2 linked regions of the Drosophila melanogaster genome follow. The protein of the gene in region 1 interacts with the protein of each later gene in a pairwise test. Each region holds a gene or a part of one and is shown in the gene's direction. Other genes may lie near its edges.

Region 1 (4,546 bases):
GCCAATGAGTATTAATGCCAATGTAATGCAAATTAGACGTAAAATATAGGCAGGCAGTACAATATACAAATGCTTGTTTATCATAACGATAATGGTTGTAATTGTGGTTCAATATACAGTTGCAGTTAAACTAATAGTGCTGTAAACTATTTTTGGTTTGTAGTCTCTGAGAAATGGTTACTTGAATATGTTGAAGTGGAGTAAAGTTTCTTCTAAGAAGAAGGTTAGTGTTGCTTAAAACAGACATTTAAGTAGAAATATTATATATATTATATAATATTATATATATTATATAATGGAATTCTATAATTTGTACCCCAAAGATATTCTCCGCAATTATATAGTGATATATTCTTAGCATAAGAAGTTCTTTTTCTTTTCATAACATAAATTTCGATGCTTTTAAAATGGAAGCACTAAGATTTTGGAAGCACCCTCTTCGTATAACGACTGTGTCACGGCATAAAACCCCTCTTTGATCAGGGTATTTGTGGTAAATATTATTATAAAGATAAGATAAGTGCATTTCTAAACATAGATTATAAGACTTAATGCAGCGATAACATATACTTATGTATGTATGTATGTATATAAAGAGCGACCTCTTCGGTGCTCTCCTTCAACATTGTAAATAGACTACATTTCCGTAATTTAACTATTATTTTGACCACAAATGTGTGTGCGCGTTCTTCTATGCATACTTGGGCAGGGTCGGTGTTCGAGTTGGGGTCACACTACGCCCTCTCAAAATTAAAACAATAAATTATAAAAAATATACGCATATACACACAAGGAAGCAGGCATCAAAATATTCGCTTTTTCCATGGAGTCCGGACCCCAACACACATACACACTCACACCGATGCACAAAGAAACCGAGAGAGGGAGAGCAGAGAGCGGCACTGAGAGCACGTGAGAGGACCCACCTACTGTGCATACATGTGTCTGTTGGCAGCTCCTATTGTTGTTGCTATTGCGTAGTCATGACAGTCAACTTCATCGAATGCTCTTTTTCGCTTTTCTTAGTTTCGTTTTCTTTACACACATTGATTATATGAATATATGGATATGTATACCAACGAAACTCTTGTTGGCTAGCTGGTTTTTGGCAATTACGCTGCGCTGTGGCGTTTCAAAACACGATGATGGGGCTAAAAAAATGTGCCTTTGAGGTATAGACACTGGTTAATTTGCATTGACTGCTGCCACAACATAACTGCACTTTGCACTCACACACACACTAAGATATGTTTTTCAACGCAAAGCATTCGGGGCGGGGTTTTAATATTGCTATTGAGCTACAGGCAGAGTAATCCGAAATATTAAGAATAATAATACTACACACCAGACGCGGAGCTCCCGACTCGACGGCAGACAAAGACGCAGTGTGGTAAAATGTGCCCAGACCAGACGGGGCGCTCCTCTCTCTCACACTCTCTTTCTCTCTCTCGTTTCCGCTGCGAGTGTAGATATATGGATGGAAAATCGAAACTCTGTGGCTGTGGCCAGCCCCCGCGGCCCCCTTTTGCTATCTCGCTTGCTCGCATGGACAAAATCAACACAAGTTCACACACATACAGGCACACGGATGTGAACTCACAATGACAACCACTTCGTCACCAGCAGATAAAAAAGTGCTGGCCTTAAATCAATTGCGTTTTATGTAATTCCACTACATTCGTACGTTACGAAAACAAGCACTATTCATATTACACGGTATACATTATTACTTCCTATCGAGTCCAAATTGCTAGGCAGGAAAGGTCTTAAATTTTTACGCTTTATGGGAGTTTACCTTGGGTTCGACCTGACAAAGAGTGTGGCCGCGGCGAGACTGTGAGAAATTACCAAGTGGTGTCTGTTATCTTAATCCCAAATACTCTAGAAACATTTGTATACTAGAATTTGAGATTTAAGCATATTATAAAAGAAATTTATTTATATTTAACTAAAAATGCTTCTTAATATTCGCAAAACAGTTTTTTAATAGCAAAGTAAAGGAACTGGATTTTATTTTAATAAGTGTGTATTCTATTTTTTTGTCATATTTACACGTTCACAAACACGGCCACACTAATCTCCACTGAAAACGCTACTCGCATTTAACTCTAGTTGAGAAAAACAAGATTTATTAATAAAAACATTTTAGCTTGCACCTAAAAGAGTGTGCGGTACTATAAAACTAATCGTTTAACAAATCGGCAATACGAAAATGTAAGTATCTGCACCACATTTTGCTCCCTAAATGGTCTAAAACAGCTCGCTTTTCTCGACAAATAAAAAAAAACAGGGCGCGTGCCCAGAGTCTCGCCGGCGAGGGTGAGAAGGAAAAGGACAACAAGGAGAAGGTCGCCAAAGAGAAGGACGGCAAGGCGACCAGCGGCTCCTCGCGCAGGGACCGCGAACGCAAACGCCGCGGATCGGCGTCCTCCAGCAGCGACTCCAGAAGCAGGTAAATCAGCCGGCAAAGGTCTTTCCCACAAATGGCTGCCATCTGCCAACCGGAATAAGGGTTACTTTTAAAAGGAAGTCCTTCTTCTTCTGTAAAACGTAGCAGATAGTACGGGAAGAAAATAGCCTTCGAGCGAAAAGATTTTGTAAAAATTCACATACCATATATGGTAAAATTTCATCACAGTTAGGAAGTGTTTTACTTTGTACCAGCTTCATTGCCGTTTTCTTGGTTACGAGAAGTAAATAAAACACTTCACTTTTTCCAGCACATCGGACAGCAGCTCTTCGCGGAGCAGTTCCGGGTCATCGCGTTCCAGCTCAAGCAGCTCCAGCGACTCCTCGAGCTCCTCATCATCGTCGTCCAGCGATTCGGATCGCAGCGAGAAGAACCGAAGACGTGGCGGCGGCGCTGCTGGCAAAGACAAAGACAAGGATAAGCCCAGCGCCCGATCACGTTCCCGCTCTCGCACCCGTTCCCCCAGGCGTGTCTCCAAATCTCCAAGACCGGGCAGCAAGGCGCGAAAAGAGCCGGAGCGAGATCGCGATCGTCGTAGTCGGTCGAGGGATCGTGCCCGCCGTGCTGGATCCAACGATAGGGCAGCCGCCGATAGCAATAATGTTAAGCGGGAGCGTTCTCGCTCAGCCAGTCGTTCACGATCGCCACGCCGTCGTGGTCGCGGCTCCGTTGAGAGGACGCCGCCACCGAAGCGAAGGGAGCGCTCCCGTTCGCGGACTCGCTCGCCTTCGCCCAAACAGGTGCGCATTCATGTCGGTCGGCTTACCCGCAACGTTACCAAGGACCATGTGTTCGAGATATTTAGCAGCTTTGGGGATGTGAAGAATGTGGAGTTTCCCGTAGATCGTTTTCATCCTAACTTCGGACGCGGCGTGGCGTTTGTGGAATATGCCACACCCGAGGATTGTGAGTCGGCCATGAAGCATATGGATGGCGGGCAGATAGATGGCCAGGAGATTACGGTATCCCCGGTTGTCTTAGTAAAACAGAGGCCGCCCATGCGTCGTCCTTCGCCACCGATGCGCCGTCCGCAAAACAACCGCTGGCGATCCCCACCCCAGTTCAATAGGTTCAACAATCGTGGAGGAGGTGGTGGCGGCGGCGGCGGACGTCGTCAGTCACCCATGAGGAACCGGCGTTCACCACGGCGTCGCTCCCGCTCCCCCATTCGTCGTCGACGCCGCAGCAATAGCAGTGACAGCTCTCGTTAGAGGACACTGATCGACTCCTAGTTTCTACAATTGACACGATTATTGCACTTTTCTTTATATTATAATCCAAATAATAAAGGTGAGCAAATACCACACACATAGAGAGTTAGCTTAGTGTATAAACGAGCACTCAGCATCATCGAGAGGACATCCCAGCGGATGATGAAGCTTGAAAAAGCAGCTACGTTTCTTGATGGTCAAATGGGATTTGGGGAGAGTAGCCGTTGGTTTAGGGGTTCTTATTCCTATGAGATCACCACCGCAGAATTCGAAAACTTCGTGTTTATTGCGCAGCAATGTTTTGATGCCGCCGCACTCGGATTTAATGCCACTCAGCTCCTCCTTGGTGAGAGCCTGGGCAATCTCTCTCATGGGCAGACGACCAGACCATTTATCTTCGTTAGAGTCCAGAATCAGTTTGAAGATCTTAAACACTAGACCATCAATTATGGTCTTATCCACCTGCGTGCAATTTCGAACGCTCTCCTCCTTCTCGCGCAGCTTAATTTTGGCATCTCCGGTCTTATACTTTCTTAGCTCTTCTTGGACAAAGTACTCCAGATCTTCAATAGCCTTTGAGGCTTTTCTCTTAATTCCCAGCAGAGCCAATCGCTTGGTGCTTGGTATTTTTAGACGGTCTTGTAGGATCTCATAGCCACATTCATGAGAGACCTGAGTGACGTATTGAAAGAAATCCTGGTAGGCACTTATCTTCGTATTCCGCCTGCGAAACTTGGCTCCCGACAGTTCAAAGGGACAGCAGGGCAGTAGGAAATAGTTAATGTTCAAACGACCAGCCAAAACCGGTAGCCAAGGAGACAACTCGTCCGAATGGTTACCAATCAACCAATCCACACCCGGAAAA
Region 2 (4,756 bases), 190 kb from region 1:
ATTAGTTTACCTGTAAATTGGAGTACCCTTATCATCTCGGTACCACAGAACCAGCACAGGTTCATCACCATCATAAGTTGTTACATTGCAAGGAAGATAAATATTTTCACCAACTATAGATTCAATTTGGTGAATTGGTACTGGAAAAATTAAGTTATAATTTGTTTTTATTTTAAGCTAACCATTTAAGATTTGGAAAGCTAATAATATACTAAGAGAAAATATGTAGGTACATATATATATATTTATATATGTATATATCACATGGCCTTAGCCGGTTAGCTAAAAAAGATATGTTAAATCAACCAAACCGCAATCAAAAATTTTTGCTAAAGAAATCAAAAAAAGTTTTACAGTTACATTCATTAATAATTTAATCATGCTCATTTTTGGATACTATTTTTTAAGCATTCTGAACATTGAAGATACAAGTTTTGACTTACCATCTTTACTTCCGATGCTGGATTCTATAAGTTGAAGTGCTAGCATAAACAGCAGCAGTAACTCCATGTTGTATATTTATTGGAATAGCACTGGTTAGTTGTTGATTACATCGACTTAATGACTTTCATATCTAGTACGCTATTGGCCACTATTGCAGATTGGTACGTTTAATTGGTTAGAAGTTACATTTTATCATCTGAATTTTCACGGAAGATGAGCACACCAACACTTGTGCATGAGCACTCAATTACACATCTACACGGGATATAACATTGTATGTATAACACATAGGTTTATATATTTTGCCAGTAGTTGCGTACACGGTATATCTAAGTTAAAGGATATTTTCGAGGATATTTGATAGTCTCGTATTTCATTTAGCACTGAAAACTGGTTAATAATGTTTTGAAGATTACTTAAATGGTCACGGTTTTGATTTTATTCAACGAACAAGTATGTATGTATGCGTGTATGTCTTTTCGTATGAACTGGTATATGTTTGACAAAATTCCAGGATACACTTTACTATATCTTATTCTTGTATGCGCACATTCACAGGATATTGAGTGCGGTTTCACTCGAAATAAATGTATTAAGCCATGCTTGAACTACTGTTTTTTTTTTTTTAATAAAAACCAAGGTGGAAAATAACGAGCACTGGCAGAAAGTTATATTACTTTTCTAGCCGCGATGCGAAACTAACACGTCGAAATTCCATCGCACTACACCTGCAAACCTGGGCTAAAAAGCTCCTCCGGCGGGCGCAGGCGCTTCGCAGGAAGCTTTTGATGTAAACATTGCAACTATGACCTTTGTACATGTGAATGTACGTGCATCCGCTTGTCTCGCTCAATATAATCGTCCTTCTTTTCTCTGAATATGATGTGTAATTGGTCGGCATCGAAACTTTGACTTCATACTGCACTCATTTCGATATTAACCCCTATTTTAGATGTCCTTGTCCATAGGCTTGCGTGTCCACATCGACATCACTAATTTCACGCTGTCCATTGTAATCTATTTTAAAAACAAGCTGAAAAGTCACGGAGGCGTGCAGGTCCGACCTTTTAATGTACGCGAAAGTACATATACTGTGAAAGCTCTCCGGACGGACAGCTGCAATGGTTCTCTCGACTTCTCTCGCTCTGATGACCGTCTTATCCTTTTTGCCGGACAAAGAAACTGAAACCTACGCAGTCCGCCCATGGTATCTAGTTTCATTTCATCTGCGAGTACAGATACTTTCAGGCGGACGAGAGGTTCAAGTGGGGTTACGTCAAGGTGCATGAGACTAGAAATGAGACTTAGGACAGTCACTTACTGATTGCTGATATGATTACTTAATCATAAATAAATTGGTATAAACAAAAACTATTATCATGTCATTGTTTTTAAATACAAATGCCTTATAAAGTTAAATTGAGAATACAAGAAATGTAGTTATATTTTTTTTATAGGGGATTCCCGAACAAGCATTTGTAATTTTTTCCCCATAGATAGTAGTTGGAGATTATTTCGGATTTTGAAAAGATAAGGAGATCGTTTAAAAGTATATAACAAATATATATATATAAAAGTAAAAACTATCGATGTCCCGTCACGACGAATCGATAGTACCAGGACCATCGCTGTTTTCCGCCAGCACTAGTAACCTCTCATCCCTAAGTATTGTTTTTTTACTTTTATGAGCATCTAATTGTACCGACTTAAGTAAAATAATTAATTAAACAAAACCTAACTGAAACGTGGGAACAATGGTGAATGACTCTGGTCTATCGACAGTGGACGACTTGGAGCAAAAACTGAATTCGGCCAAGCAGTCGCTGGTGATCCTAAATGAAAACATTCGCCGCATTGCTGGTCGCGTCCCCAAGGAATCCCTGCAGAGGTATGAATCCAAGTTGTGCTTAATTTAATTAATTACTTAATGCCGCTGCATTTCAGATCGGAAAAATTCAAATACACCCAAGATGGCAAGAAGAACGAGCACAATGGGGACCGACCGTTCCCCCGAAATGCAACACCCGGTGGGGTCTTCAAAGACAAGCGGCGAATGTACGAAAGCAAGAATCCAATTTCCCGTTTCCCAATCGAAGAAAACGAGGGTCGTCCGCCACGGATTAACTCGCGGGTCATCCGGGAGATGCCAACTAAAAAGGAGATTGTCGAGGCACAGGGCACAGACTCTGAGTCGAGGGCCAGGAATCGCAGGATGTTCGGATCGCTGTTGGGAACCCTACAGAAGTTCTGTCAGGAGGAATCGCGACTGAAGAGCAAGGAGGATAAAAAGGCTGAGATCGATAGGAAGGTGGAAAAGCAGGAACTGCAGGAAAGAGCGATGCTGAGGAAACAGCGTGAAACACTATTCTTAGATAGGAAAAAAAAGCAATTCGAGATCCGTAGATTAGAGTACAAAATGGCCAGAATGAAGGACTTCAAGGTCTGGGAAGCAACTATGTTGAATGCGAAAAATAACATCCGAACAAAAACGAAACCACATCTGTTCTTTAGGCCAAAAGTGCATTCGCCTAGAACGGAAAAATTGTTGAGCAAAAGCAAAAGTGAAGCTGATGTGTTTATAGAATTCCGGCGCGAAGAATTGGAAGTTGAGCTTAAAAACTTGGAGAACATGAACTTTGGGAAGATGGAAGACGATACTGCAATAGACGAAAGTTTCTATGAAGAGCCTGACGACGAAGAGCAGTTGGATAAGTGTAAGTAAACTTCAGTTTGCACTAGGGCTTGAAATATGATCGTGCGGATATCGCTGTGTAGGGCAATTGGGTTTCAATTTATAAAACTTATTTATGAAACTTTAATTTATAATACAAAAACCAGATCTTAAGCAAATAAATTACAATGCGGTGATTACATTTAAAAGTTATATCGTATTTATCAACTCAAATACCTTTGTTTCAATGTTCTACTTCCTGTTTTTATTGCAGCTTTATTATACGTTAAGTAAAGTACCCAAAAGTAAATGATGCTATTCTAGGAATAAAGGATTACAACTAATGCAATTTAACAAATTATTTGCAAAAGCAATTGTTTTACTTCACCGAATGAAGGGGTGTTTAAGAACATCAATTTGTGGACAAAACCAGTTATTCTTTATTGCCATTATTTATGTCCTACTAGAAATAAAACTTGGAAAAAAAAAATTGTTTACTGCAAGCAAGCTATATTTGTATCTTTCAAAAGAATTTGTAAAATTGTAAATAAAACTAAAAAATATTTTACACGCAAGATATTGGATCGCGAAATAGGAACATTAAATACCTAATTATGTATTTATAGATATAATCATCCTGAAGCTAAATCACATATTTTATTCTCGCTTCCAAATTGTTTGAGGAAGTAACTAATTTAAAATGAGGCGTTAAAACAATTATAATTCTTTAAGCGATAAGTTAAGAACTCTTATAAGATAATTATACCTTCTTCGCCGTCTATTAACATTATTAATTAAGACCAGTAGTCAGAAGCAATTAATGAAAAAATAATATGTTAACCTCTGATTCTTGTACTGTATTCGTGTAAAAAAAGAACATTGTTTTTCTGAAAATAAAATGAGAGCATTGACATCCGCCATATACAGTAGAAAAATACAAATTTGATGAATACGATTGTTATACACGTACATTTTATTGAAATTTAGGTGATTTGAAGTGGAACCGAATTTTTGTATTTATCCGTAGAATGTATGAATCATTGTTCTTTACGTCGATGTATTCTGAAGACTTTGGCATTGGAAGCTTTGGATGTAATTTGCTAGGGATGGGTTCCCAACACGACCGCTCACTGGTCAGATCCTTCGGCGATGCTTCGCAGTATCCAATCGGAGAAGCTACTCACCAGGGTGTAGACCCCCGGAATGGTGGTCACGCCGCACAGCGTCGGTCCAAAGGCCACGATGCCGATGATCGTATAACGTCCACTTGTTCCAAAGACGCCGGAGGTACCGTCGTCCATAAAGGGGCCGCCACTATCGCCTCGGCACACGTCATTCATGGGCATTCCCTGGGCGCACAGGTGGTTGGGAGTAATCACAATAGGCTGCTGGAAGTTCTCACTGAGACTGGCATAGGCGATGGCGCAACTGGTGGTGTTCACGATGGGCAAACGGATGAAGCGCACCCCAGCGGTGGAGTTTGAGGGGTCCATCGAACTATTATCTGGATAAAATTTGTAGTAGAGAATGTTATATACATTTAAAACCTAATATGCACTGAATTATATTTCGATCGCATTGATAGTAAGTTAAAAAATGTAACAGATCAGATATAAAGTTGTTTCGAGACTAACTTTCAGT

The links. Proteins that work in one complex are often made in the same cells at the same time.
Region 2: the proteins of RnpS1 (region 1) and Pnn interact in a two-hybrid assay, tested with the Drosophila melanogaster proteins (one large-scale study listed by BioGRID).

What each region holds. Positions count from the first base shown.
Region 1 is NT_033777.3:9,549,971-9,554,516, forward strand, and holds RnpS1 (RNA-binding protein S1), read left to right. Parts: upstream 1-2,063; 5' UTR 2,064-2,212; coding exon 2,213-2,214; intron 2,215-2,290; coding exon 2,291-2,452; intron 2,453-2,720; coding exon 2,721-3,681; 3' UTR 3,682-3,777; downstream 3,778-4,546. Other genes in the region: CG9386 (uncharacterized protein), read right to left, coding at 3,793-4,546.
Region 2 is NT_033777.3:9,738,811-9,743,566, forward strand, and holds Pnn (pinin), read left to right. Parts: upstream 1-2,088; 5' UTR 2,089-2,198; coding exon 2,199-2,332; intron 2,333-2,388; coding exon 2,389-3,158; coding exon of another isoform or gene 3,159-3,166; exon of another isoform or gene 3,167-3,346; intron 3,347-3,389; coding exon 3,390-3,409; 3' UTR 3,410-4,034; downstream 4,035-4,756. Other genes in the region: side-VII (sidestep VII), read right to left, coding at 11-140, 444-510; CG34409 (uncharacterized protein), read right to left, coding at 4,243-4,619, 4,750-4,756.